4 linked regions of the Lepisosteus oculatus genome follow. The protein of the gene in region 1 interacts with the protein of each later gene in a biochemical or structural test. Links are inferred from orthologs where the notes say so. Each region holds a gene or a part of one and is shown on either strand. Other genes may lie near its edges. The genes, in order: ube2e1, rnf4, prkn and rnf167.

Evidence for each region.
Region 2: the proteins of ube2e1 (region 1) and rnf4 form a complex in vitro, tested with the Homo sapiens proteins (2 studies listed by BioGRID, with this or other methods). The link is inferred for Lepisosteus oculatus from reciprocal best matches to the Homo sapiens genes UBE2E1 and RNF4.
Region 3: the proteins of ube2e1 (region 1) and prkn form a complex in vitro, tested with the Homo sapiens proteins (2 studies listed by BioGRID). The link is inferred for Lepisosteus oculatus from reciprocal best matches to the Homo sapiens genes UBE2E1 and PRKN.
Region 4: the proteins of ube2e1 (region 1) and rnf167 form a complex in vitro, tested with the Homo sapiens proteins (3 studies listed by BioGRID). The link is inferred for Lepisosteus oculatus from reciprocal best matches to the Homo sapiens genes UBE2E1 and RNF167.

What each region holds. Positions count from the first base shown.
Region 1 is NC_090705.1:30,783,255-30,790,623, reverse strand, and holds the start of ube2e1 (ubiquitin-conjugating enzyme E2 E1), read right to left. Parts: upstream 3,028-7,369; 5' UTR 2,922-3,027; intron 2,383-2,921; exon of another isoform or gene 2,283-2,382; intron 2,064-2,282; 5' UTR 2,030-2,063; coding exon 1,872-2,029; intron 1,139-1,871; coding exon 1,088-1,138; intron 1-1,087. UniProt on the Homo sapiens protein: Accepts ubiquitin from the E1 complex and catalyzes its covalent attachment to other proteins. Catalyzes the covalent attachment of ISG15 to other proteins. Mediates the selective degradation of short-lived and abnormal proteins.
Region 2 is NC_090696.1:6,256,920-6,263,766, forward strand, and holds the start of rnf4 (E3 ubiquitin-protein ligase RNF4), read right to left. Parts: upstream 3,021-6,847; 5' UTR 2,784-3,020; intron 1-2,783. UniProt on the Homo sapiens protein: E3 ubiquitin-protein ligase which binds polysumoylated chains covalently attached to proteins and mediates 'Lys-6'-, 'Lys-11'-, 'Lys-48'- and 'Lys-63'-linked polyubiquitination of those substrates and their subsequent targeting to the proteasome for degradation.
Region 3 is NC_090712.1:15,389,925-15,396,976, forward strand, and holds the start of prkn (E3 ubiquitin-protein ligase parkin), read right to left. Parts: upstream 3,017-7,052; 5' UTR 2,979-3,016; coding exon of another isoform or gene 2,972-2,978; intron 2,947-2,971; exon of another isoform or gene 2,204-2,946; 5' UTR 2,149-2,203; coding exon 2,079-2,148; intron 1-2,078. UniProt on the Homo sapiens protein: Functions within a multiprotein E3 ubiquitin ligase complex, catalyzing the covalent attachment of ubiquitin moieties onto substrate proteins. Substrates include SYT11 and VDAC1.
Region 4 is NC_090698.1:10,554,050-10,560,933, reverse strand, and holds the start of rnf167 (E3 ubiquitin-protein ligase RNF167), read right to left. Parts: upstream 3,028-6,884; 5' UTR 2,693-3,027; intron 2,582-2,692; exon of another isoform or gene 2,559-2,581; intron 1-2,558. Other genes in the region: polyunsaturated fatty acid lipoxygenase ALOX15B-like, read left to right, coding at 6,455-6,727.

The sequences.
Region 1 (7,369 bases):
CCTGGTGAAGCAGAACTGGTGAACAGCTCAGATGGTCCAAATGGCTTCCTTTCATTTGTGAATCTCCTGCTCTTAAGAAATTTCTGTCTTCCACACCTGATCTGCAATGTATTGGAGCTGGTGATGCAAAAAAAGCTACACCTCTATCTCGGTTATGAGTAGAGGATGAAGTGGGACCCTGGTTATAAAGGAAAGTGCTCTGGGATCCTTTAAGCTGAAAAGTAATATATAAATGCAACTCATTATTGTTACCAACTGCCTGAATGAAGACAGCTTTTTAAGAATTGTTATAGGTACACAATCAATCACTGACCAATGACAAGCAAGGTTTCCAGCATAAAAACACTCTAAAATCTTACACAGAACTAGCATACTAATAATTAAAAAAACAATTCACTGAATCAATCCCAAAACAAACAGTCCCTATGGGAATAAGGGTGTTGAAAAGGTTTAGTGAAATGTCCTCAAAGTTATTTGGAAAACATACTTTAAATATAATGTATTAGTGGATATATTAAACTGTTAAACAACTGCACAAAATAAAGAGACAATACACATTTGAAAGTGTATTTTGCACAGGTGCATCTTTCTCATTATAAGTTTAAAGAAACAGCTTTACGTGACTGTGTAAGATGAATGCAAACGCCATCAAAAATAAAATCACTGCTATTTCCGTTCATGTAAAGTCTATTTCTCTTTTGCCCCTGCTGAGCCAAAAGAAACCTTTATACTGTGCAATGACACAAGGAGGGGGAAAATCCCGACCCCTTCTCCCATTCCTCTGCATTGCACAGAGGGAATCCGATTTCTTTTTAACAGCTCACCTCTTAGGGAACAAAAAACCGGTGTGGTCCTTTCTAAATTATTTAGATGACTACGAGGATCTCGCACAGTATCTCTGATTATGCCTTAACGGTCTCTTGCCAGAACACAAAAAGGATGCAGCACAATACTGAATAATCTCCCGAGTCGTACCAGGCGATTGCTGTCGGCCGACACAAATTCACAGCCAAGCTCTGCGCCTTTAAGGAAGCACTCTTGATAGGGAAATCCTAACCGTAATAATAAAATAACCAAACCCGGGTACCTGCAGTTCGGAGGAGGGTCCAGAGTGATATCTGCCAGCTCCTTCTGGATTCTGAAGGAAACAGAAACCACTCGTTAGTCTCGATCAGTCGGTACCGAAGGAATCAGTGATTTACATCGCACGCAGGCACAGCTGCTGACCTCTGCCTGCGAAACAAACATGGCCGCTCCCAGCAGCTCCTACTCACCAATATTTTAAAGATGAAATAACCCACTTCTGGACTGATTTCGCGGGTGGCCCTCACCTGGAGCCAAAATACCTTCGCCTTACAAGCAGCTACCGAAGGAATTTCGCCAATCCCCCCCTCCTAATTTTCGCAATAAACTGCTTAAGCTAATATGCAAATGAGCTGGTTCCCCATTGAAACAGAATAGCTGAGCTTGTTGTGAGATCTCTTAAAGGAGACACGCCTGAGGAAGCGTCGGTTGCATGGGAGAAAGTGTTATTTCAGCATGAGCCTGAATTTAAATAATCATATTTAAAAAAATACGAAGTAAAACCCACTCATTCTCAAAGAAGGGGTGGTTTTCTTCGGGCTGGGAAGCTATCAGGACTAAGAACTGGTGGATGAGCTTCCAAATACATCTTAATACGAAGTTGGTTCGTATGACGCTACTGCAGTCCTCCCAAGGAAAAAAAAAATGTGTTTAACCTGAAAACTAGATCGCACACAGCCAAGGGTTGCTAATATCACACTAAGCGTTAACTCTTTCTGTCCCGATACAATGGCTGTCCGACCGGTGATAACTGGCATTGCTCAGCCCTCAACCGATTCCCCCTTTACCTCTTTGCGCTCGTAGAAAGCAGTTTGGAGGTTTTGCTCATACTGGCTTTGCTCTCCTTCTTCTTGCTGGTTGTTTCTTTCTCCTTCTGATGTTGAGCGGAGGACGAGGAAGACGACGACGATGAGCTAGTACTGGCCCTCGAATCCTCATCCGACATACCGGCCGCACGGAACGGAAAAAAAAAACCCAACCTGGAAAGGCGAGCAGAGGGAATCGAGGGTTAGCTTCCGAAATAAATGCATACCAAATAAGACTGGTAGACGACACGCCTGTGGCATGTGGGTTTACCCCCAAGATCAGCCTCTTTGCACCTTCTCACGGTCGCCACTCCTAAAGACTGCGTGTGAAGTTGTGCAGCCAGGGCAAAACACCCCCCTAAACTCCGATTTTCTGAAGTCAAGGGAACTTACTTTCTGTCCGAGACTAATGTGCCAAACAACTGTCCTGAACTCCTCCGTTCCTCCCAACGCCTTGTGCTCCTCTCCCAAACAACACACTTCGCCGGAGTGGGAATGAATATTTACCTGCACCCCAGCAATTCAGAGACAGCCAGCTCACAGCTGGGAACTGGGTACAGCTCCGCACAGCTAATGAAAGATAAATAGATAGATATATATCCGTACTCTCATGTATCTGGCTACCCCAACGTCGCATCCATTCTGGAAATGTTTGACTTGCTTTTCAGTCCCCAAGACCCCATATAGTTGATCAAACTTCACACCCCGAAAAACAACTAACCAAAGCCTAAAATCTCAAACGGGTTTCATCCAACTGATCAATTTAACCTCTGGTCTTCCTTGCGGGGGTATATCAGCAGTGTCTCCTTTTTTTTTTCTCTCTCCTCTCAACATTGCAACCGATCTGTCTATTCAGCTCCACTCGTCGCTCGGATCCTTTTCTTCATTCTGCTTTTTCCGACAGGTTAATATCCTCGTTAACCTCGCAAAAACTTCTACAGGCGGCCCCCTGTCGATGCCAGAGACCTACCGGGGGCCGTTAAGGAGAGTATTTACTGGCATTAAAGAATATTTTCGTCTTTTAAACGGTACCTCTCTTTGTGTCTGTGACTCCGCTGCCTGGGCTCGTGTCTCTCCCCTCTCGCGGAGCGGAAGTGCTGCTGCAGCAGCAGCTATTAAACAGGCAATGGCTTCTATTCTATCGGACTCGCTCGCAAATGATAATGTCAAGGAAAAACACGGGGTGGGGGAGTCTGGATGTGAACCGAGATCTGAGTATTCACATGGCCACAATTGTTTATTTTTTTTTTCTAAACCCCTTCCTGTACCTAAAGCATACTCGAATACACGTATATCACCATTTCGTGTCAACATTGATATCCACAGTTAATGTACGTGTTACTTTCTTAGAATGTGTGTTTTAAAAAGGGATGGGCAAGAGAATCAGCATTTGTTAAATAATTGATACAAAGCTGCATATCACTCATAGTGTTGTGAATAATTCAAAGCCAAAGAATTTGTATTTCTTCTCATGTAAGCAACCTCAACAAATCATTCTGATGTGCTTGTTGGTCTTGGCAATTCTCCGGACAAAATTAATAGCATGCGCTGTGTAGGGAGGTTTATTTATTTTTTTTACATTTTCAAAGTTTTGTGGCAAAGCAACTCTATGAAAATTATTTTAAGGAAATCCCCCGTTTGGACACTACTACGTTAAACTGAAACGAGATATTTTATGTCATGGAAGAACTAACCAGCGGTGTAATTCTTCCTGCGTAACAGAAAAGCAGAAGACAACATATGACAGTACCACTTTACCACCTCCCTCCCCCCGGTTATTCCTTATAATATTAGTATTACTTTACAGGTTGTGGGACGTGACAGTTTTGACCTCGTCTCCACATACTTGTCTCAGATTAGTTTGCAAGACAACGCTGGGTTATTCCATCCCTTATTACAGGGGTCTCAAACTCAATTCCTGGAGGGACTCGTGTCTTCTGAGTTTTTTTTCACCCACGTTCTCGATGACATTGTTGGTGTGATTTAACTAGGTGCTGAATTCTAATATTTCTAACCAGGCTCTAAGATGATTATTGTTAACTGGACCTTAAATGAAGTGAATGTCTTGTTTATCAACTATAGAAGACCTCAATAACATTTACATAAATGTCTAATTTAGAGAACTGAGTATGAGACCCTGTTTTTAATTCTAACCTCGCTATTCATTGCTGTGATTCCAAAATAAAATACGTTTTTTTTTTACTTTTAAATGTTCTCTTCACAATACAAAAACAAATCTGTCCTGAGTTTAGAACAAGCAAGACCACTTTATTTTGCCATACACTAGTATTGCTATACTGATGTCTTGAATGACAAAACCCTCCCCAATTATGTCAGTTCCTGGAGGGTCTAGTGTCTTCTCATTTTTTTATTCTAATTTGAGCACCGATTACACAACATTTTGTTTTAATTTTACATATTTAGAGTTTAAAAAAATCTTTTACAGTTGATTACTAAAACAGTTGTTTCATTTACATTTCATGTTTTACTTACTGTTACTTAGAAAACACCTCAGAGCCAGGAGCAAAGTATAAAAATTGTGCTGTTAATGAAATAATCTGACCAATTGGTATAAATGAGAGCATGAGTAGAAAAAAAAAACATCAGGCCCTACAGGAAATGAGTCTGAAACCTCTTCACCAAAACATTCAGTCATAAGACCTAGACAAGGGGTGTGGAATTTTATTCCATGGCTGCTCTTAATCATACGTTTTACTGCACCAAATTTAACAATTTTCAAAGATCTTCAACTGTTGATGATGTTGATTTCTAAAGAATGAGAAACCCTGCTGCACCCTGCCCCTTGAGTCCTTGATTTGTCTGCCTATAACCCAGACATTAAGGTGACCAGGCCTTCCAGGTCTTGTTCATTCAAATAGTGTTAAAAAAAGGGCGCTTCTACGACTAGACAAAACACAGTACCCACCTACGCTTCTGGATAGCCTTCTTGACAGAGGGTCATTAAGAAGGAAGCAGAACAGTTTGCAGATCAAACCGTTTTTTAAAAGTTATAGAACTGTCAGTTGTTTTTCTATTCCTATTACTGTATACTAATGTTTGAGGATCCACAGTCCTGCAGAAGTGTTCTAAATACATTAATTATCGGTAAGATGCTTATTCACGGTAATAGTTGTAGCACACCTGAGCCTGTCTGAGAAGCACAGGAACGCAAGACAAGGCTATACTATGGATTTTTAAAGCCTGGCAACACCTTAACAGAAAAAAAATGAGAGAACCAAAAAAAAAAACCCAGGATTTTCTTTTTACCAAACAGGCTATATGCGTCACAATCTGTAATTGGGATTACTAAACTAGTCAAACTCAACAAACTTCTGTATTTTTACAAATATCACGGTGTGCTGAGTAATTGTGGGTGGATCGTTGCCTTATCAGGGCCTGTCTTGTGGAGACGTTCATGTTACATAATACATCTGGTGAGGGAATACAGGAAGAGGGGGGTCGTATCATCCCAGTCTGTCCTGGGCAGGAGTGGGCACCCAGATGGAACAGTAGATTGGGTAATGGACTGGAGCTCTGTAGGAGCAGTGAAAGACGGAGAGTCAACATGTTGACAAATTTCAGCTGTGAGCAAGATGGGCATTCATATCATGGTTTTTAAAATGAAATTCTAAAATGTAAAGATATCACAGAAACAAATAAAACATACTGTACTTTGTAGCTCCCGGAAATAGATTAAAAAAAACCTTTACTGGTTTTAAACACTGTAAGAGGAAGTTGGTTTGAAGTTAAGAAACTGTATTTGTATACTCTTTGCAAATATCTAATTGAAGGGACAGAAATGTGTAAACACATCTAGACAGAAATTAATATGAAGAAACTATTGTAAAATGCTTCAAGATCCCTTGGGATGAAAAGCAGTATATAAATAGAAACAACAATTATTCATTAATCTTGTCTGGTAGAACTCAGTAAAAATCAGGGTTCCTCCAGTCTACAAATTCCCCAGAATCTTTCAGCATCAGTTGAATCTGAGAAATCATATACTGTACTTGAGAGAGTTTCTGTTTTTTCTTCTGTCAAACTATTAAATGGCCAACAGCCATATCACCCTGCAACTCACAACTGGCCACTGAAGCTAAGCAGGTGTGAGCCTGGTCAGTACCTGGCTGGGAGACCTCCTGGGAAAAACTAAGGTTGCTGCTGGAAGAGGTGTCAGTGGGGCCAGCAGGGGGTGCTCGCCCTATGGTCCATGTGGGTCCTAATGCCCCAGTATAGTGACGGGGACACTATACTGTAAACAGGCGCCGTCCTCCGGATGAGACTTAAAACCGAGGTCCTGACTCTCTGTGGTCATTAAAACTCCCGGGGTGTTTCTCGAAAAGAGTAGGGGTGTAACCCCGGCGTCCTGGCCAAATTTCCCATCGGCCTTTATCAATCATGGCCTCCTAATAATCCCCCTCTATGAATTGGCTTCATTACTTTGTTCTCGAACCCCCCCTTTCCATTCCGACGGCAGGTGGAGCGACGCGCCGGTTGGAATATTTCTTGGTCGCAGTTAATGGCAACGTCTGCTCAAAGATTTGGTTCAAACCACCAAACGGAGACTGCTGTGCCAACAAGCGGACCCTTCTGATGCGGGATTAACACTAGGAAAGAGAGAAACTATTAAAGCACTGGACTGGCAAATCCAGGTTGTAGGTCATTGTTGGATACTGTACCAAAGAGTTTTTTTCTTCCCTAAAGGAGTCCAGCCTATCTGGAAAAAGAGCTAAGAGCTGAGCTTTCAGTTGTTAAAGCATGCATACTTCAGCTATGACATTTTACACAGTGCACGAGAAATAAAAGTAGGAATTAATCCTTGAAACCCTTTGAGTGTTCAAAACCTATTCACGGGAATATCTATTGAAGCAGAGTGCCTTCAAATAGGTCACAACAACACTGTCAAAACTGTTATTTTTGTTTTTCAGTCGTGTGTTTTGGAGCTGTGATCAAGAGATTAATTTGAATGATAAGTACAATATATTGTAAGTTTTATTTTGAAGTAGGCCTCATTCCAAGCATACATTCGAACATATTAAAACAAAACAATACCTTGGTTTACTGCAGTGATTTTAACTGAAGGTGCTGCAACACATTCACAAGTCATACAAATACAAGTCAGTATTTTGTTGCATATTTCTTTGAGACAATAACAGCCTTCTGAGGTCAACAAACCCTATGTGTAATTATTTTGAGATCATTTGCTCCTCTTAATTGGAGTTATCTTTTCTTGGGGTGTTTTGACTTTTTTATTTAGCATGTAATCTAGACTGCTGCTTGTATCTGCCAAACCCTGACAAAATAAAAAACAAAACAAAATGTAATGCTATTTTTGCAATGCAATGTAAATCTGAGTGAAACAAAAGTTTTTAGATTCTTATACATAGAAGTGTTTAAAAATGGTCCAAAATTCCTGGCTGGGCTTGTTAAATAATGTTGTGATGAAGCATTTATGTAAAGCTTTTAGGAAAAAGTAACAG
Region 2 (6,847 bases), on another chromosome or scaffold:
AAACATTAAAAAGAAGTGGAGGCTGGATTTTAACAGAGTAAGCCAATGTCTGAAAAGGTTCAAGCAGAAGTATCTGTACAAACTGAGGCAGGGTCAGGCATAAGCCAAGCGAGAAACAAAAGGTGAAGAAAACAGCTGGAGGAGATTTACAGCTTGTGTACATGAGAATAACCCTTATAATAATACTGCACACACTGGAACCGGATAAAGGCGTCTGTTATGGAAATATTAATGCCGTTCCATCCTTAGGTATTCCTCTCTCGACACACAAGCTCAACTATAAGCAAGGGTCTGCGAGCCCACAGAGTGCATGAAGACCTCAAAATGCAGCAGGCTCAATCAGTACATGCAGACATCACGCATGTTTTTCTCTGCTCCACTAACTCCACTCTTATAACAATACAGTGCTATGCATTTCTTTAGCAGGTGTTTATTTACAGTATTGAGTACCAATGCCATCTGAAAGAAAAGCTTGGTGAAAAAAGGCAGAGACTGGTCTTACATCTTGTCCATAAATGCGGATTGACCGGACAAATTAACAAGAGCGAAGAGTTGGGCACTAATAATGAATCAATGAGTCGGCTTCAGATACAGATAGCAGATAAATGAAAACACCAAAGTCATCAAGTGAGTGGACAGAGTCTATCAGCCTCTGGAACTCTGCAGGAGAGATGCAGCACCATTCTTCCAGGAGAAAGTAAATCAAATCATGCTTAATTGATGGAGGTGGAAAACACATCAATGAATTAGGCATCCCAAAGCATACTATTTCATTTGGGCAAACTAAGCTACATTTATGGCTTTATTTCTAGGTCTTTTGAAAACCCCATCCTAATATATTGAATATATTGGACAAATTAACTTAGTAAGTATAACGACCGATCATTATTGCAAGCAAAGGGCAAGAAGACAGTTCGGAGTTGAGGTACCAAACCATAACATATCTTCATGGATTTGTGGTTCATGGGGACTTTAAAGAACATAACCCCCAACAACTAGCAAGAATTTATCATTATAATATTACAATCCAGCAATTTGACAAACTAAAACCCCAAAAGGTAAAAGACACCACCTACAGAACTACCAGGCAGTTTCCTCAAATATTTCAGTCGTTCACGGTTTTTACCTCCTATCTTGTGAGACACTGGGGAACACAGTCTGCAGAAGCGGTTAACAGCACAACGTGCTTTACCGAGCTTTAGCAAGTATTTCCTGACTGACTCACCTCATGCAACGATGAGTACAACTAAAGACCAAGATGCCCATAACTGCCTTCCACCAGCACACCCCCTTAACCACCCTTAAACCTGAACGTGTCACAGCTCACAGGTTCCTGAGCAGACACTAGGATGGGAGAATGTTTTTAAAGAAAATCGCGTTGCTGCCGAAGTGGTGGTGATGAACTAGTCCATCATACCAACCTGGAAAAAGCAAAGCAAGGAAGAAACCCTACTACAGTCATGGTGGGTGCTGTGGTTTAAAAAACACCACCTACTGTAAACCAACGGATCCCGATCCTGGAGGTGCGCACGCCTCCTGGTTGTCATTCCAGCGGAGGTTAATCACCTTGCTGACACCTTAACAGGACTAACAAGCCGCTCCACTGGCACAATCTCAGGTTTCTTTTCCTTCTCATAAGTTAGGAATTTTACTTAGGAAATGCAGTAGTTAAAGGGCAGCTGTCAAACTGAAAGCAATGAAACCATTCAAACTACTCCTATTACTATTACTCCCATTGAGAGTTGAATCAGGTGAGCGCCCCCTGCTGGCCCCACTAACACCTCTTCCAGCAGCAACCTCTGCTCTCCTCCTCACTGAGAGCTGATGTGTGGTGAGTGTACTGGTGCACTATGGCATCATCCAGGTGGGGCTGCACATTGGTGGTGGAGGGGATCCCCATGACCTGTAAAGCGCTTTGAGTGGAGTGTCCAGAAAAGCGCTATATAAGTGTAAGGAACTATTATTATTAATTAACCTTAGTTTTTCCCCTGGAGTTCTCTCATCCAGGTACTGGCCAGGCTCACACCTGCTGAGCTTCAGTGGGCTGCCAGCTGGGAGCTGCAGGGTGATATGCTGCTGGCGCTAACAAGAGACGTTCAGCTAACGTGGAAGTTAAGTCGCAATACAAGAGGCATTAACACCTGTGCCAACACCACATTTGAAAACAGACTATGTAATCTGACTAGTCCAAACCGAAAGAATACCGCTTTATTGATATAAAGCTCCTAACTAACGCATATCTCCCTTAAATACAGATCTTGTATCTTTTATTAGACAAAATAGTTAGATTATACACGGGATTCGAAAACAAATATGGCATCTATATGACTAATGCCCACTGAGGCCTTCGATCCGGTTGGCAGCAATTCGCAGAGATTACCAAAGCTCTTCAACTTCTGTTTAACAGCAGCAGCAATCCTCTTTTGTTAAGGACCGATAAAGACACAAATCATAGCTCGAGAAATGATCAAAATGGTCGAGAAAATGAATGGGTGACAACAGCCAAGTGCTTTATACCATCGTGGATTAAATAATTAGATGTTGATGCTTTGTAGAGGAGTTTCTGAAATAGGTGTTGGTACACCAACTCCGCTGTACTGTTACATAACCTCCAACATGAAATGGTGCTCAAAATGCTTTTAACGGCATTATAACAATTATTTTAGCTGTAAATACTATCCATATTACCATATTACCCATATTAGCACTAAAGCCAGGGCTATGGTGTGTGGTAAAATTAACAAAAGCCGATTAAAAAAACTAGCCAAATAACCGAAACCTACCACGAAAATACTCGGACAGCAGCAGTCAGGAAGAAATCAGGGTTATCGACAGCTTTACTGCAACGCTTCTATCTGGCGAAGCGCACCTTAAATATGAAAGAAATGAAACAATAAGAATTACTACGAATGCACTGAGGAAAAATAAACCAAAATCCCCTTCAATTTCTTTTCTCCACTCCGATCATCCAGCTCCTCCTCGAGTCGGAAGTAACCTCGGCAGCAGATCCGTTAACCCAGGCGGCGTTGTGATTGGTCAGACAGAGAGTAACGAGCCAATCGGTAGGCGGGAGCTTTGTTCAAGGGAATATGACGTACATCCGGGCGCACTCTGGTATTTGTAGTTTTCACAACAGGAAATGAGTGACGCGGTGTAGTTCCTTAAGGCTTCTTAATGACGTCCGCTGGAGTAGGTAAATTGGAAAAATAGCAGCGAGGAAAACTTTCACCTGAGTGCGTTTTCGGTTATATGGTTAAAACATCTGTACGGACCGAACACCTGCTTTGAACTCGCAAAAGCTTAGGACACTAACGAGCATGGTACGAGGGAAAGGAAATCAAGGAGGAGTATAACTGGAAAGACTGACTTCGCTTGACTGGGTTACGAGATAATGGTAACGAATAGTAAAAACATCCGTTAGAATGTATAGCCTTTTGTAAAATGACGCAGAAAGGCGTACATAAGCAGCCGCGGCTGTTTTAGATTTTTTTATTATTGTTCGGGTGACGATAGACGTCGCCCCCCTGAAACCCAGATGGTGTAGAACTCTCCCACAGCAGGCAGCTGGGGTTCACCACTGTCATGGGGGGGCGCAGTGTCCCCTTCCAGTAGCCATGGTGGAATCATCGCAGGGCAGAGCTGCACCCAGTTAAGGTAATTGGGGTCTCTGTGCCATGTGTGTCTGCCCTGTGATGGACTGGCACTATGTGCTAGGTGTAGTCCTGTTCCACGTGCTTCCTGAAGGAACTCTGGGATGTCTGGAGTAATAGAGGCAGTGACAATGGGAATAACTCAAGGGGCAGCACAGTGGCGCTGGGGCTCCGTGATCGATTCCTGGAGTGCCATCCGCAAGGCGTTTGCATTGTAACGCTTACGGCCGACAGGTACTGTGTAAGAGCCGGCTTACCAGAGCAGGTGACGTCACCGCCCTTCCCTGTGATAGCAGGACTACAGCTACTGGGCTGGGGAGAGATCTCTCTTTGGCTCACCGGGCTGGGTCCCTGTTGAGTGACGCGGAAGTCCTGGGTTAGAGCCCGCGATGGTGGGGGGCCGACCTAATGCAGCAAGGGCGCCCCCCTGAACCCCTGTAGCGTTACAGCATGTTCTTCTCGTGTTCGTGTGGATTTCCTCTGGAAGCTCTGGTTCCCTCCCCACCGTATGAAGCTGGACTGGTAGGTGAACTGGCTTCTAGAAAAACTGGCCCTGGTGTGAGTGTGTGGGGGCGTTTGCCCTGCGGTGGACTGGCGACCCATTCAGGATGTACCCTGCCTTGTGCCCATTGCTTGCTGGGATAGGCTCCAGCTGCCCCGTGACTCTGGATTGGACAAGGCGGCTAGAAAATGGATGGAATAAATCATACTACAACCGTTCCTGACCTCGCAAACCTACCGGGAGAATAAAATCACCTTCTGGAAGATTAATGCTCCTTTCTCCAAGGTGCAGCTTCTTTGGATCTGAGGAAGCCACTGCCACAGCTGAAGTGTTCACGAGAAGTGTCTGCTTTCAGGGCAGTGGACAGAGGGAAGATTTCTAGTTTTGTTTCCAGTGAAAAGGAATAATGTCTTTGTTCGTGTATGAGGTAGGGTTTTTGTTTTGTTGCTCAGACTGTAGTTGAAATAAAGCCAGGAACCCACCAAGACTGTAACAGAACAGCAGGGTTTGGTGTGGAGTTCATGTGTAAAGATCCTCTCAGCCATGCTACCACAAGCTGAAATCTCCCGATGCAGAAAGATCTTACATGGTGACACGGTGACTCAGGGCATTAAAAAGCACGAGCACAAGCAATTAAATTACAAATGTCCGATTGCTTATTTTAAACCCGCAGATTACACATGCCAGTGGCTGAGAATAAGTAGGAACAGTCCATTGGAAACACCTGCAGAGGCCAGTGCTGCTCCTGCACAGACGAGTGATGGAAAAGCTGTGTGACTGCTGTGCACCCCGGCCCGTTGTGTCATACGCAGCCTGTGTCATACACCTCCCTCTGAGCTCGAGGGTCCCAGGTCCGGTTCTGGGCTGGTTCCATGCGGAGTTCCCCATGTCCTTCAGCACTTTCTCTGGGTGCTCCTTTTCCCCCAGAGTAATTGGCAACTCTGAATAGCCCCCCCATGGGCATGCCCTATAATAGACTGGTGTTCCCTCGAGGGTGTATCCCACGTTACACCCAGTTTCAGCAGGGTTAGACTCCACCTCAAAGCCTAAAGCTGGTACTGGAAATTAACACATGGATGGATTATACGGTGCATTTCTTAGTTTGAATGGGCTATGTAACAAGGTGAATATTGTTTTTGCACCCATTATCCGGTATAAAGCTCTGAATCAGCCTTTAGCTAGGACCCCCTTGTTAGAGGAGGAAGTTGAGATTTAATTAACTCCACACATTCTACACCACACACAAACACGCTACAGCAGGGTTTGTGACTCCTGAACCTGCTGCACAGCTTTCTACTGTCCAGTCCTTATCCTGTTCCATCCCAGAGGGACTTGACTCAGAGTGCGCCAGTCCAATTCTGCAGCTTCATGAGAAAATGTCAACATTTGTTAAGGGTACAGGGCCCATTTCACAGTTTGCTTTGTAACAATATGTTGCTTTGTTATAACAATATATTGCTTTGCTTTGTTTTACACTGTTACCTTTTTATTATTATAGGCCAATGTCTGATGTCTACTGCCTTGCCTGTGTGAGGTTATGGAAACAGCAATTGGAACTAAAGTACAGGATCAGCTATATGGAAATGACATCCTAGGGAATAGTTCACATGGATTAAGAAAAGGTGGATCTTGCTTAACCAACTCGTTAGAGTTCTTTGAAGAAGCGACAATGAACTCTCACAGAGCATACACCATGGGGTATTTCGATTTTCAGAAGGATCCTGATAAGGTTTCTCATAAAATATTTATTGTTGAATTACAGGTAATAGGATTCAGGGAAACATCTGTGATTGGATGGAGAATTTGTTCATATAGAAGAGAGTATAAAGATAAACAGTGAATGCTCAAACTGAGGCGGTGTACCACAGGGACCTGTGCTAGTGTCACTGATCTTCCCCATTTATACCAATGATCCAGATACTGCTGTGTGTAGTGAATTAGTCAGCTTCGCAGAGAGTACCACAAGGGAATGATTAGTAAACACTAATCTGTAAAGACTGGGCAAACACCTGACAGATGATATTTAATGAAGAATTGTGCAGGGTTTTATATGCAAGTAGTCACACCTGAAGAAGGGTCCACGGCTGAAACGTTGTGTTTTCTTATTTCTCTTTTCAGCATAGAATAAACCTATTGTTCCTAGTAAAATCATATACTATTAAAACAAAGCACATACTATTAATAAAAAACTTGAAACACTGAGCTATAAGATGCTACAAAAAAAGATTTAGGTGTTTATGTTGACACATCTTTTACATATAGACCACGTGGTGAAGCAATTTTAAAAAGGCAAACAAAATATAAGGACATATATTAAAAGGGTTGAATTTAAATCAAAGGACATTGTGTTAAGAAAGTTCAAGTAGGTGGAGGCGTTGGCATGTGTAGGCTGCAAAGGAACAAGTAAGAGGTTTATTCCAGCTGAAAAGAGAAGAGAGGAAACACAATGTTTTGGTTTAACCCATGGAGCCTACATACCCGAAGAAGGCTCCCCAGCTGAAACATTGTGTTTCCTTTCTGCTCTTTTCAGCAGGGAATAAACCTTTACTGGTTCCTTATGTGAAAATTGTACATTTCTATCATGTGTAGACTAAAATCACAGACACTATTCTAAATGAGGTCTTACTAGTACAAAGACGTTGCTGCTCTGTAATCCAGAGAAAAGAGGCCAGGTACATTCCAGGGCTTGAGACCT
Region 3 (7,052 bases), on another chromosome or scaffold:
CACATCCTGTTTTTGCTGGGTCAGACTCTGGTTCACCTAACTCCTTTAAGGATAAAGGAGTTACTGAATATGAATCGGTGGTTGATTGACTAATAAGGGAAATCAATATGTTACCGGAGTGCCTTTTTGTAACAAGCAACATCCCCCGGGGTCTTTAAAAACCACGACACTAATATGTGGTAAAGAGCAGAATTGCCTCTTCAATATGTCCACCTAAGTTCAGACACTGGTAACATGCAGCCCTTTCCCAGTTCCCTATCCTCCTTCTCAATTGCCACACTTATGTTAGTACCTTGGCTCATTCTTCCAAGTGGTACAGTGGTACTGTAGATAGCCATAGCCTGTCAAAGCCACAACAATATCGACAATTGTTCTCTCAGATGAACATGCCTGCACGCACATTGATGGAACAATTTAACCAAACTGTAACTCTGGAGCTCTGGTTAGGTTTTTATTATTACTTGCTTGTCTGACAATACGTGGCTGGGGTTACACACTGATAATGAGCTCCTAGTTATACTGCCCACTATTCACACAGCTCCAATCAGTAGAGCTTTAGATCACTGAAAGCTATAAATAAACATGGAAACATTCAGCTAATGTGAGCCACACTCTCACAAAACTACAAGTTTTCAATGCAAGGGGATAAACTTGTCGTTTTATTAGAGACTAGGATTATACATACAGTATATAAATACTGCAGTATGGCTCAATCTCAGAGTTTAAGGAACATCTTTGGGAAAATCTTACTTTTAGATGTTGTATAAAAAAGGTAATGTACTGAATTACACTCCAAGCTTCAGGGCAAGTGATTTGCAATTAACTAATTAAAAATCTAGATTTGTTTTTTACTTTTCTGAAACTATGGTGGTAAAGGTTTTATACAGTACTTGACGTCAGAAATTTTAGGAATTCTTCTATTAGGATTTTTAGAAACTCTAAAAAACATTTTGTCTGATTTTATACTGTAAGTCACAATAAAATGTACAGAAAATACAGTCTCACATCTCACATCACATAGAATATTCTTAGTTCAGACAACTGCTACTAATTATATTATTACTATTGGCCTAATGTACCTAAAATAAATGTGATAGGTCTTCCAGAGATTCTAGAGATGCAAAATACAGAATGTTGATGAAATTCCAGGTTTCCAGCTGTACTGGAAGCATATCTTAAACATAAAGAGCTATATTTAACTAAAGATTTGACATGAGATTAAGCCAAACAGACAAAGATATAAACAGCACAGAAAATTCCACTTGGCTAAACAGTTTGTCTGCCCTAACACTAGTGCTTCAATATCATCCTAAAAAAAACTAAAATCCATCAAATATTGTATTTCCCCTTTAGCCATTTAAAAAAGGAGTATCCTGTCTGAAATGCTGAACAAGCTCTTTTTCCAATCCCATGAAAAATTGTTTTTTTTTTTATTATTGTTCTGTTTAGAATAAAGTTTCTATTAAAGTTACTGGTTCTGGAAACAACACAAGATATGAAGTGTTTTGACTTCACATAAAGACCTGCTACAGTTCTGCTAACGAATTTCACGGTTCAAGGAGATTGAATCAAGTTAACCTTGAGATTTTGATATAGAAAAAGAAATGGGTACATTCGACAGGAAAATGGTACAGCTGTGTCTCTTTGGCTTAATTCAGAACTCTGGGTCAACACTTTTTACAGGCCTTGCCTGGCCAGAAGCTTGCTTTCAAGATTTTGAATATGTTGTTTATGAGCTCAGGGTGGCCCAGTGCCGCAGTGGTTAGTATTGCTGCCTTGCAGTGCTGGGTTTTGGGGTTGAATTCCAAACTTTCTGTGCAGGGATCGTATGTTCTCTCTGCGTTCGTGTGGGTTTCCTCCAGTTTGCACCGGTTTCCTCCCACAGTCCAAAAATACATGTGTATATTTTGAGAATATTAGCCCTGGTGTGACTGCGTGCGTGCCTGTGTGTCTGCCCTGCAATGGACTGGCGTCCCGTCCAGAGTGTACCCTGCCTTGCGCCCCTTGCTTGTCTAGTTAGGCTCCAGCTACCCTGAACTGGAAGAAGCAGCTCGAAAACAGATGGTGGGATATATTACCTCGATCGGTGTTCTCCTCAACACCTTTCAGTGTCAGAACTGCCACCTTGTTTAAAAAGCAAGGGCTCATCCACAATGTCAGACTCTTGGCTCCATGCTGCAGTAACCCCAATGCCAGCTACAGCCTTCATAATGAAATTAACACTGTTCCTACAAGGGAAACACTCTGCAGATGCTTATAAGTATTTTAATAATGTTCAAATTGCAATTTGATGACTAATCATATCACTGCCTCAGATTTTAAGAATTCTCACAGTCTCTCTAAAACTGGGATTAAGAGGCACTACATAAATATTGTGCACTGAATCTTTTTCATTGCGTCTTTTGTACAGAATGACAAGAATGTATGGGGAATTTAAAGCTATATACTTTCCCCTACGTACCTAGTTATGTGCAATAGCAATAGCACGTAATTAAAAACGCTCATTATCCTATCGATTCACAACACCTGCTAATAATGAGAAGTGCACAGAAAAAAAGAGCCACCGAGAGATCACGTGATACCCTCAACTAACCTCTGTCAAAAGCTGCGTGAAATGTCTCAGGATTTAATAGGTATCTCGTGGCTTATTTGTAGATAAGCAACCAATTTAAACAAAAAAGTAATAAACAACGGAGTGGGAAATGAAAAGCAGCATTAATTATGCAATGGTGTCATGCACTATACATTTTCTTCAGAATAATAGTATAGTTTTAAGATTAGAATGCGGAGTTGAGGGGACTATTCCCCGTTTAAGCGTCTGATTTCTATAGCTGGGATCATGAACTGCAAGCCACTATTTACCATCTCCCGTCGTCAAGCTGAATTACAGGTTAGATGCACTTTTTCTTATTTCGAAAGAAAAAGAGAAATCAAGAGAGACACGTCACACAGTATCACCAGAGTCACATACCTATCATGCTGAAGAGACGCAGTCTCTGACAATGTGACACTGACAGTCTACGCACACGTCTCTGTTTGTATTTAAGGCTATGGCCTACGACATCCCAGGTCACACTGCATCAGCGCACGTGTAATGGTCCCTGAAGCATGTTGGGAAATGTAGTGCCCTTTTTTTCCGTTTCTGTTTCAACGTTTTCGTGCAACGATTTACAAGATACAAACGTAATTTATTATTGCTGTCATGATTTCTGCTACTACTATTTGAAAGCAACTACTGAGTTTTATGTATTTTATAGCATGCTTCTTCTGGTTGTGACCGAGTGCTTATTTAATTGGGTAGGTCAGTCTCTGCACAAAACGAAGAATTCAGGTCATTAAACAAGAGTTGACGGTTTGGTCGTCTTATTTCACGAATTTATTTTTTTACTGCTAACCTTAGAACTAAAACTTAGAAAGGACCCTGAAAACGGTGCGAGCGAGTGCATCGCTGCCAGTCCAGTTCTAACTGTACGTAACCAGAGATCTCTTTGTTATAATTAAAAATGTATGGTGCCGTTTTTTATAGCCTGGAACTTTTTTTCGTTTTTCTAAGTAAAATTTGTGTATTTGGTAATCACATGTAAAATCTCGCCTTATAACAGAGAAGGGACTTTTTCATTTGGTTGTGCTTTTTCGGGATAAGTTGCTTTTGCTTCGGCAGTTTGGCGAGTGAGTACAGTTTCCCTGTAATCATTCATACATTATTGTAATGATTGAAAATGATTGCATGTGCTTAACAGATTCCTGCTATCGTAGCAGACGTTTTGCTGTCGAGCTAGTCGAAGATCAATTCTAGCGGTAATTTAAGGAAGGGCGCCGGTGGTATTTTATAATGCGTCTTGTGTTCTGTTTAACTTTAGTATTTCCAGGTATGTCTGTAAAACTCAGTATATGAGAACAATTGACCAAATTACACGACACCCGATTTGGTGCAAATTAGAACAGTTTGCTAACTCTCCAGGTGTTATGGAGGACTTCAAAATGACAAACTGCAATATACAGGTATTGGACAGAAACAATGGAAATACCCAGCAAAGGGGGAACACTATGGATATTGAAAGCAAGGTCTCCCACTCAGTTCTGGTCATGCTTTAATTAAGCAGCTAGCATCCCAGCACGCTTAGAGGCATGCATAAAAACAGGAGGGCCTGGTTTCTGGAATTCTGGCTGTGAGAGCACAGTGACTTTGAAAGAGGTGTGTTTGTTGAGGTGAGTACAGCAGGAGCTTCGGTGACCAAGACGGCTCAACTGGTTGAGATTTCGCAACAGTAAGTGGAAGCACAAACTATAATCATGATATCCATGCTTAAATTCAGAGTGCAGGGCAAACGAAGCCAAGCAATTACGCAGCAGGTGATCTGACTGCAAATGCCAACCTGGGGTGCAAGCATCCAGTTTAATCAAAGGTGGTCTGTAAGAGCTCCTCAAAGTGGTACACTGTACAGAGGTGGATTGCAGTGCAGGAACCACTCCTCACTCCTGGCACGTCCAGTGGTACAAAGAGCACAGGCAATGGACTGCTGAGCAGTGGAGAGATGTGATATGGTTAGAGGAATTATCCTTCATGTTCTCGACAACCTCAAGCACTCAAGGATTGTAGAGCTTTTTGTTCCAACAGTAAAGGATTCTGGTGGTTCTATAATATTGTGGGGCTATAATAATATTCCTGTGATGGTCTGGGTGTATTTGTTCCTTTCGAAGGCAAGGTAGATGTTATTGGCTACTTAATAGTGATCGTCTTCACCCCATGTAGCATTTTTTTTTCATGGGGGGCATCTACCTGATGGCAATGTCCACATCTACTGAGCATGTGTGGTCTCCCAATAGTTTAATCAGCTGTACACTGATGTGTGTTACAGTATGAAGTATGTCATGGCCTTCTCACTCACCAGAAATACTGTAAACACAAATGAGCATTTATGAGATATTTTGGATTTTTCCAGAGCATTTTTTCACTTCCATCAGCCAGGCTTTCTCATGGAAGAATGGTGCTCCATGCCTGCTGCAGAACTCCAGATGGTGTACACTCTATGTGATGATGCATACAGGCCATACTGGTTTCATGTGGTGATCCAGCACCTTATTATGTGAACTATACATTGATTGACACTACCTGTGTGTTTTGGCTCTCAGTTCCTGCTTACAGTGTATTTGGAAATTCTAGCAGCTTCGTGCCGTTTTACTGTACATCAAAATGCTCAAGATTCCAACTCTGATAAACCCTATATGTCTTTACTATACTTTAGTATAGTAATCCTATACTAAACCCTATATGTCTGTATGTTCGCAGTTGTAAATAAGTTGCTTCAAAATACAGTATTTAGCCCTACATACTGTACACTAGCAAGGAAGTAAGGGTATGAAAAATAGTTCTATTTTTTCATTTATAATGTTTTATTGTTTAATTTTAGATTCATACAAATTCAAACATAAAATTCATATGCAGTAGCATTATTTCTAGATGCACATCATAGAAGCCCTGCCTCATTTAGATTTTCTGTTTCTGTCTTGTGGAAGCTTAATGCGTTAAGCATTGACGGTTGGCAAGTAAATACTTTTAGAATGCAGTTTTTCATACCCTACAAATGTGTGCTTTCCATCAGTACTGGATATCCAGTGAGTCCTAAACCAGTTTTGAGATAACAGTCCAGTCATGTGCTCATGGTCTTTGTGTGTTCAACAGTGATTTTCTTTTTTTTAAGCAAAAGGAATCTTGGCAAAAATAAAATGAGGACCTGCTGCCACCCTGGGTGTGTAATGATTTTAGGATAAATGCAAAAAGTCTTGGGTATAAAGAGTTAATTTACATAATTATGTTGTTTTTTCTATTAGTCTTTCTAGAGAGATTTATGTGCAGCTTTTTAAACATGTAGACTATTTAAAGCATTGGGGCTGGTAGATGCTGTAAACTTCATTAATATTCAAATTGAAAATGCATCAATGTAATGTTTTCTGCATCTCTTCAAATGTGATGTGGCATATTACAACCAAAGTTACAGGGTTAGATGATTGACTAAACATGATTCAATTTACATATTAATGAGTAAAATGACAGATTATAATATTTACCCCCCTCTCTCCCAGGGGTCAACACTGTACTTAGTTCCAAGCTTTCAGGTTCCAATAATTCTACAATAAAAGAACATTCTAAGTTTTTTTTTTTAACCTTGTTCGGAAAAGGTTAAGGAAGGTAACATTCTGTTCTGGATTTCCAAATGTTTTTTGAGCTGTTTGCAGGGTCTGTTTCAATCATGCTCAAATAAAGTTGTGAAAACTGAAAATCATTTTTTGTTTTTTGAGCCAAGAGATTAGACAAAGCATAGACTTTTTAAAGAATAGGGTTCAGTGACATGAACAACATGCTTAGTCTACTAGGAAGTGTAAAGGTTGTTTTCTCTATGGAAGCTCATCCTTGTTTAAAACATTACAAGTGAGGATGATACTTTCATGTAACTGCTTCATGCCACCCTCTGCTACTTTTTTGCCCAATATTAGATAAGCATATTTGCACATTATTCAAAAGCTCAGAGTATGTAATGGACAGTATAAAGCATTCCCTAAGATGCAGATATCTTTGATCTTTCTGTAGTGATAGAGTTTCAGTGTTCTTTTAGTGCTGAATTTAAAGTGAACAGCACTGAAAAAATATAAGTGCAGTACATTAGGCATTATTTATGCAGCAGTATTTTTCAGCAAATATGGACACTTGAACCTGTAAATTGCTCCCAGGCGAACATTAAAATTTCGTAAGTTTAAAGGACTTCTTTGAGCAGCTCTGCCAACTGTTCATCTCCATTCCACTCTGGACATGTGTTGGCAAATATGACTCACTGGGGAGCTCTGGCTAATGAAATTCTATCTTACATTATTGGAGAGTTCTCAACATAAATAATAATTGCAATCTAGTTATGTTTAGTGACAATTTCCAACCTTGTGCCATAACTAATCTCAATTGTTTTATGTTCAATCGACAGTGATATGGATTCAGTACAGGTAGTTCTGCTGTTTTTGTTTTTGATTCAACACACCTTTAAGGCTACTGTATGTACTAC
Region 4 (6,884 bases), on another chromosome or scaffold:
TGCAGTGCAGAGTCAGAGCGTAACATGTCTGGCTGCAGCTGGCCTCGAGCCCAGAGTGCACTGAGCCCTTCCTCTTTCACAAGGTCACTTACTGGAAGCGAAAGAGTCCCAGGAATTTCACTTTGACACTTCACATGACGTTACGTACTTCATGGTGACTTTCAAAACACAGAAGCTCGCCGAGACGGAAGGAAAGGCCCACAGCAGCAGGGCCTGGGCCTGGCGCCTCGCCCTCTCCGTGCCCCGTCCCTTCGACTCTAGGGCTCCCTCGGGGGAGTCGGGGTCCCCAGAGCTCCTTCCCCATCAGTTCTGCACCGGCTCGGACTTTGACTGGGACGCCACCGCAGCTGCCCTGATCACACCATCAGAGCTGCGCCCACTGCACGCTGTCTGAACGCCCAGTTCCTTCCCCAGTCGGACATGCGTCCTGGATCTGCCGTCATCCTTCTGGATGTTGACAAACCACCTTGCCAGTGAGGATCCGAGGAGCTTCGGAGGCATCAGGGCAGATTCCCAAGAGTGCCCAGAAGGGCGTGTAGTGCCGGCACACGGGAGCAGACCCATTCCAAGTGACAGCAGACCTCATTAATCAGAAGACACAGAATTCCAGCTTCCTGGACCTGCGGCGGATCCCAGTCCTGGTTCTGGAGGTCCACACACTGGGTCTAATCACAGCTGAGCTCTCCGTGACACAATCGACCCCTTGACTGAATAAATAAAAGTACTGATTCGAACTGTTCCTCCGTTTTCAGCTCTAAAATATATTGGAAGTCACCTATTCACCCATGAATTCTGTGAGCAACCCTTCAAAAAACTTGCAAGTGTTCCCATCTACCAACTTGTCAGCACAATTAAGGTTACAATTTAGCTGGAATGAAAACCAGCAGGTGTGTGTGGGGTCCTACAGGACCATGACTGGGAGCCCATGTGTAAAAGCTGGGGTGCCGTGGGTTCACTCAGCTCTCGAGTCAATGGGTGGCTTGATGGGACAGAGGTTTCCGGTCTCTAACACACTTTCACACTGTGAAAGTACTCTGTTAATACATGTCCTGAGGCAACTGCTGTATAAATACCTTTCAGACAAATCTGGCACCTAATTCTCCTGCCGGTGTCTCTTTACCACAGGAGGAAGATCAGGGTGCAGCCCTGCTAGACCTGTTTCCCCCCCCAACACGAAAACACACGGAAGGCCGCAGGCGAGAAGAGGCCACTTTGGCTCTGCCAGGAACCTGCTTGAACAGCCCAGCCTGTTCCAGACACCCACCACACTTGGTGTAAAGAAGCACCTCCCATTCGCCATCTGCAGAGCACTGCTGCCTGTGCTGTTACAGAAAGGAGACTGGCCAAGGGATGGCCTGCCCCATGATCAGGGCTACTGATCCCACCTGTCCACCGTGCGTCCAGGGACACTGCAGTTAACCCTTCTCCACTCAGAATCAAAGCCGAATCCCAGAATTCACTGTTAAAGTTTACTCCAGAGTTAGTGATCGCTCACAAACTCTTCACACGCAGCGTTTCTCTCAGTTCATTCACTCCTGTCTAGTGCACACCACATCCAAGCATCTTTATGATCACAACACTGACATTTTATGATCACAACACTGACAACCTGATGCATCTTTGAACACAGGGCCAACACAACACATTTTGGATGTTGTTAGCTTTATCTGACTTATACCATGATAATTATACTAACAGTAAAGACCTCACAGTGACCTGTACTATAATTATAATACTATCAGCAAAGACCCCACAGTGCCCCGGGCTGTGATATTACTAACAGTAAAGACCCCACAGTGACCCGTAATGTAATAATGTCACCTACAATAAGGACCCCACAGTGACCTGGACTGTAATAATGTCACCTACAATAAGGACCCCACAGTGACCTGGACTGTAATAATGTCACCTACAATAAGGACCCCACAGTGACCTGGACTGTAATAATGTCACCAACAATAAGGACCCCACAGTGACCTGGACTGTAATAATGTCACTAACAGCAAAGACCCTACAGTGACAGAAGCCAGACTTCCAGTGATCACCGCGGACCCGGGTGGCTGTTCAGAAAACCAAACGATCAGGACTAACCGAACGGCGCTGCTCTCGTCGGACACTTTATGTTCTTCTAGAATGTGCCCTGTGTCACAGTTAGAAAAACAAACACAAGAACAGTCACCCCCTTATCAACTTCTCGCAACCGAGCTGCTAGGACAAAATGTGAACAATAAGTCACATTTTACACAAATAGCTGGCTTTACCTTATCAGCTAACATGCATTCGCACGGCTCCTACATCAAACCGCGGTGTAAACAAAGTCTCTAATCTTGTCCAGAACCGGAAAACCCACTTTTAAAAAGCCCCTAGCCTGTTTACTTTTTGATAACCCTTTTGCTCAACACGGCCAGTCGATTGCGCAGTGGTATGCATCACACATAGGCAGGCTACCCAGAGCGTTCAAAATAATGTTAAAAATTAATATTAAGTCAATGATCTAGCTACCTAAGTTAAGAGTGTTACTTTTTTCGTTTTGCAGGGACTAAAATAAAGTACCGCACCTTCAAGACTGAAGAGTTGTTGTTTTTTTGTGTGCAACCAGAATTAAAACATTCGACAGAGCAGTCCGTGCACATCGCCACAATAATAATTGTGCTGACCATAAAAATACATTTCTTCCGGTTTCGGATCTTACCTTTCAACTACAGTCGTCGAGTCGTTTGAAGTCGACAAATCTGTTTCGGTCTCGCTTTTCCCGTATTATTTTGAAGGTTTTTGCGGGGAAAAAACTTCCAGTTGTCTGCCGTGCGTGCTTGTTTCGGAAAATAGCCTTTCCTGTGTGAAAGTACGATGTGTGTTTACGTAAGATTTCACATCCCCCCCATCTCTGTTTCGCTCGTTAGCTAGCTAGCAGGGCCGTAGCTACAGGCGACGGATCTCTGTGTCTGGATTTCCTGGCCTAATCCAAGATGGAGGCGCCCACATCCCGGGCCTCGCGTTATCTGGACGCCCGTTAACCCTTTCGGGGGAAGCCGGTGAGAATGGAGATCACTTCCGCCCCCTCACCCCGCGTGGACCCGTAGACAGATCGGTCGGCAATCACCCCCCCTCGCGCTCTCTCGCGCTGATCCAGCAGACAGAGGCTGACATTGCTCCCCGTTTCATTTCTGATCTTGAGTGGCCGTGGGTGGGGAGTTTGCATGGTCTCCCCGTGTGGACTCCGCTCCACTGCCTTAAAAACACGCAAGTTCAGCTACCAGTGTCTGTCCTAAATTCCCCCTTTCCGTGTCTCTGTGTTGGACTCATACCCTCCAGAAAGACAGAGCAGCTATATTAAAACAGATTTAGCCTCACCGTCAAAATGGGCGAAAGTATATTATGGTACTGGGTTTCTGTTTTTCATACGGCTTTGTTTATTTACTAACGAGCGGGTGGTTGTAAATCGCCTTGGTTACAGGCATTTGCCCAATATATCATCGATCAGTAGATCGCATCTGCCATCGCCTGGCTGTCGCTAACCGTGATATTCGGCGACCTACTAAGTGCGATCAATATGGTGCGTCAGACCTGGCTCATTTGTCTAAGTTACTTGCGTGCTCAGCCTCCGCGGGGGCTGCGTGTCTCAGTGAAATAATAAGCTGTTATTTCGGAGCGCCCGCCTGCCCCTCTGGCTCTGTGGACAGCTCTTCCTGCGGGGATCCCCAGACGCGTGCTGTCCACTACAGCTGTGCTGCTCTCGCACACACGGGGGCCAGATATCAGGACCAGGCGGAGGAGGGGGGGTCTTTTCACGAGCCTACGGCTCTCCTCCCTGAAGTACTGATTTATCCATACCCTGCGGAAGGCGTACAGAGACATGGCAGTAGTGATGTACGAGTGTGAAACAATCCAGGCTGGTCGAGGTGTTTTGCTCCATTACGGTATTGTTATCGATCTGAAGAGATCGGTTTTCCGCGACCTCTAGTGGCGAGATTCTCGCATTACAAGCACCGGACAACGCTGCAGAAGAGCCTTGAAGCCCTGACCTGTACAAAACGAAATAGCCTTTCCTGGCATGATGTGTTTATTCACGGACTCGCCAGATCTCCAAACAAGACCAAAAGGAAAGAGGAACATCTCGGAGCGGTCCTTGAACAGATACCCCCACCCCGGCAAGCGGGCAGAGAGAGTCCGTTCGCCTTTCCGCATCTAACATTGTGGCGCAACGTGCTGGGTTATTTTACTGTGCTTGGAAAAACTCCTCATATCGGGGCTCTTTTTAATAGAACTAGTACTACTAATAGAGCTACAGGCGAGACAGTTCTGTCAAACGAGAGACTTTTGCTCTGTTTGTAGTTATTGCTCTGTTGATAGTCCGTACATACTATAACTATTCTGTACCGTTTTGTAATGTACTGTCCACGCACACGGCTGTACTACAGTTGTCTGTCGTACTGTGCCATCTGCTGGACCGAGCATGTGCCGAGAGATCGGCGCGAATAAGAATTCTAATGTATATGTACATACGACAAATAAAGGCTAATAATAATAACAACAACAACAACAATAATAATAATAATAATAATAATAATAATAATAATAATAATAATAATGTGCGCCACAGTGTTGGATAAATCAGTTGGAAAACGAGCGGATAATAAAAAACGAATTCCTTATTATTTATTAGTATTTTTCATTCTTGTTAATGTTCTCTATGAAAACAAATTGTATTCAATTTGGTAAATAAATTGCCTTTGGTGCTGTGCGTTTAGCGCGTGTCAATCCCTGAAAAACTCGTGAAGGCCACGCGCGGTGACGTCATCGTCAGGTAACAGGGGCGGCCCCGTGATCTCACGCGAGACGTAGCCGGCACCCGCCCAGCGCCTGTTCCCGGAGGCTTTAAAAAGGGCACAGCGCCGCCTCTCGGGCAGACCGCAGACATGGCCAAGAGGCGAAGACGAGCGTCCCGTCCAGTGCGCAGGAGGAGGCGAGTCAGGAGGTCCAGTGTGAAGCGCCAGAGGAGGAGGAGGAGGAGGACCAGGAAGCACCACTGAAACAGTTGGAGCACTTCTGGCAGGAGCTGCCAGCTCAGCTGCACTGCCCCCTGCTGGCCGCTGGACTCGCTGCCCTCAATAAAACTGGGCTAGAGATCTGATTCTTGTTCTAATTATTGCATCTGCTGTCTTGGGGTGAACCAGGTCTTTGCGGTCTGTGTCCTGGGTTAACTGGTTTCAGTCTGACCTTGTGGTCAGCAGTTCTCTCTGTCCTTTCCTGTGTCCACCTGGCCTGCTGCCCATCTGACCTGAGTCAGCCACGCTGGCTGGTGCTCACTCCCTTCCGAGCTCAGTGTTGTGTCTGAGTCGTGCACACATACACACTCACAGCTACATGAGCACATAAACACCCTTGCACAGATGCACACACATAAACACACGTGGACATATATGCACGCGCGCGCATGCATGCATGCATACACACACACAAAAGTTGGAGGAGGGAGATGCGTAAGTATGCATGGGCTGCAAAGGAACAGGCAAACCTGTTATTCCAAGCAAAAGAGACACAACGTGACACAGCTGAAGAAGGCTCCTCGACCCCCTCGTGAGTGCCTCACGTTCACGCTTATTTACTCCAGCTGTATACAAGTACACAGTGGAAGGAAATATCGTTCCTCCTCGTCCAAGGTGAAAATACAGGCAGACAGGACACTGACAAAGACATTGTAGACAGGATAAACATAGTGCAAAGTGCAGATGGTCCAAATTACAAGGTAAATACATCATACATAATGCCTGGTCAGCTCGTTGAGTCATAACAGCATGCAAGAGGTCAGCTTCAATCCCCCACTTCCCTGTGAGATAATTGCACTTAGATCCTCATTAGGGCTGTTTGTCTACAGGTCAGCGTGGGAATGATGACATCACGGGCACAATCAGGTGCTAATTGGGTCCAGGTGGGTCTGACACAGCTGGGCGGGTGAAGCACATTTATAAAGCAGATTGAGAGCAGGTTTTTCAGTTTGTTTGTGTTGTGGTTTGGTTTGTAGGGAAGCTGCTGGCCTCCAGCTTTGTGGTGGGGGTGGATGAACTGTAGGTGGGTATGCTTACGTTCTCCTTGGTTACTTTTGAGCTCTCTGTGTCTAAGTCTGTACAGGTGCTCGTGTGCCAGCGATGCGATGCTCACAGCTCCTCTGCTGGCTGGCTGCCCCTGAGCTTCTGCAGGTGTGCTAGTGGATGGGCTGATCTAGACTGATAGATGCCTTCTTCACCTATGATCCTGGGAGGGCATGGGCTTGAGTGACTCTTCCTTTGAAATGTTTATTTTCATTCATTTTATTGTAAGCCCCTACAACAATGAATGATACCCCATGCCCTGGACTCCTGCAGCCCTCTGTGTAAAAGACAACATTCTTCTTTCCAATGCTAGCATCAGATTCTGTGGCTGAGGAAGCCGTTTGAGGTTAGAAAGGCTTGTTTATATGGGGAAGAGAGATGCTTTACACAGAGAGTGGTGGAGGGTGAGTTCTAAGTGGGACCCTTTAATAAAAGCTCACAGATGGGGGGGATTAATGCTCTTGTCGCTGAGGTCTTTCAGCAGCAGCAGGATGGAAACGTACAAGGTGACCGTGACCACAGGTGACATGGTGCACTCCGGCACCTTCGACCGGGTCTTCATCACGCTGGTTGGGTCCGAGGACAGGAGCGAGCGCACTGTGCTCTCCACTGAGGGCCAGGACCTGTCCTCTGGCATGGTGAGGAGGGGAAATGCCTGTGGAGGTGGTGTTGGAGGGGGACTTCATATAGCACTCTGGCTTGCGGAGATCAAGTCTGGATGAGTGGGCTTAGATCATGATAGTGTGGCTTAAAATACCATTGATGACCAAAATATCCGGTCTCCTCTTGCCTGGG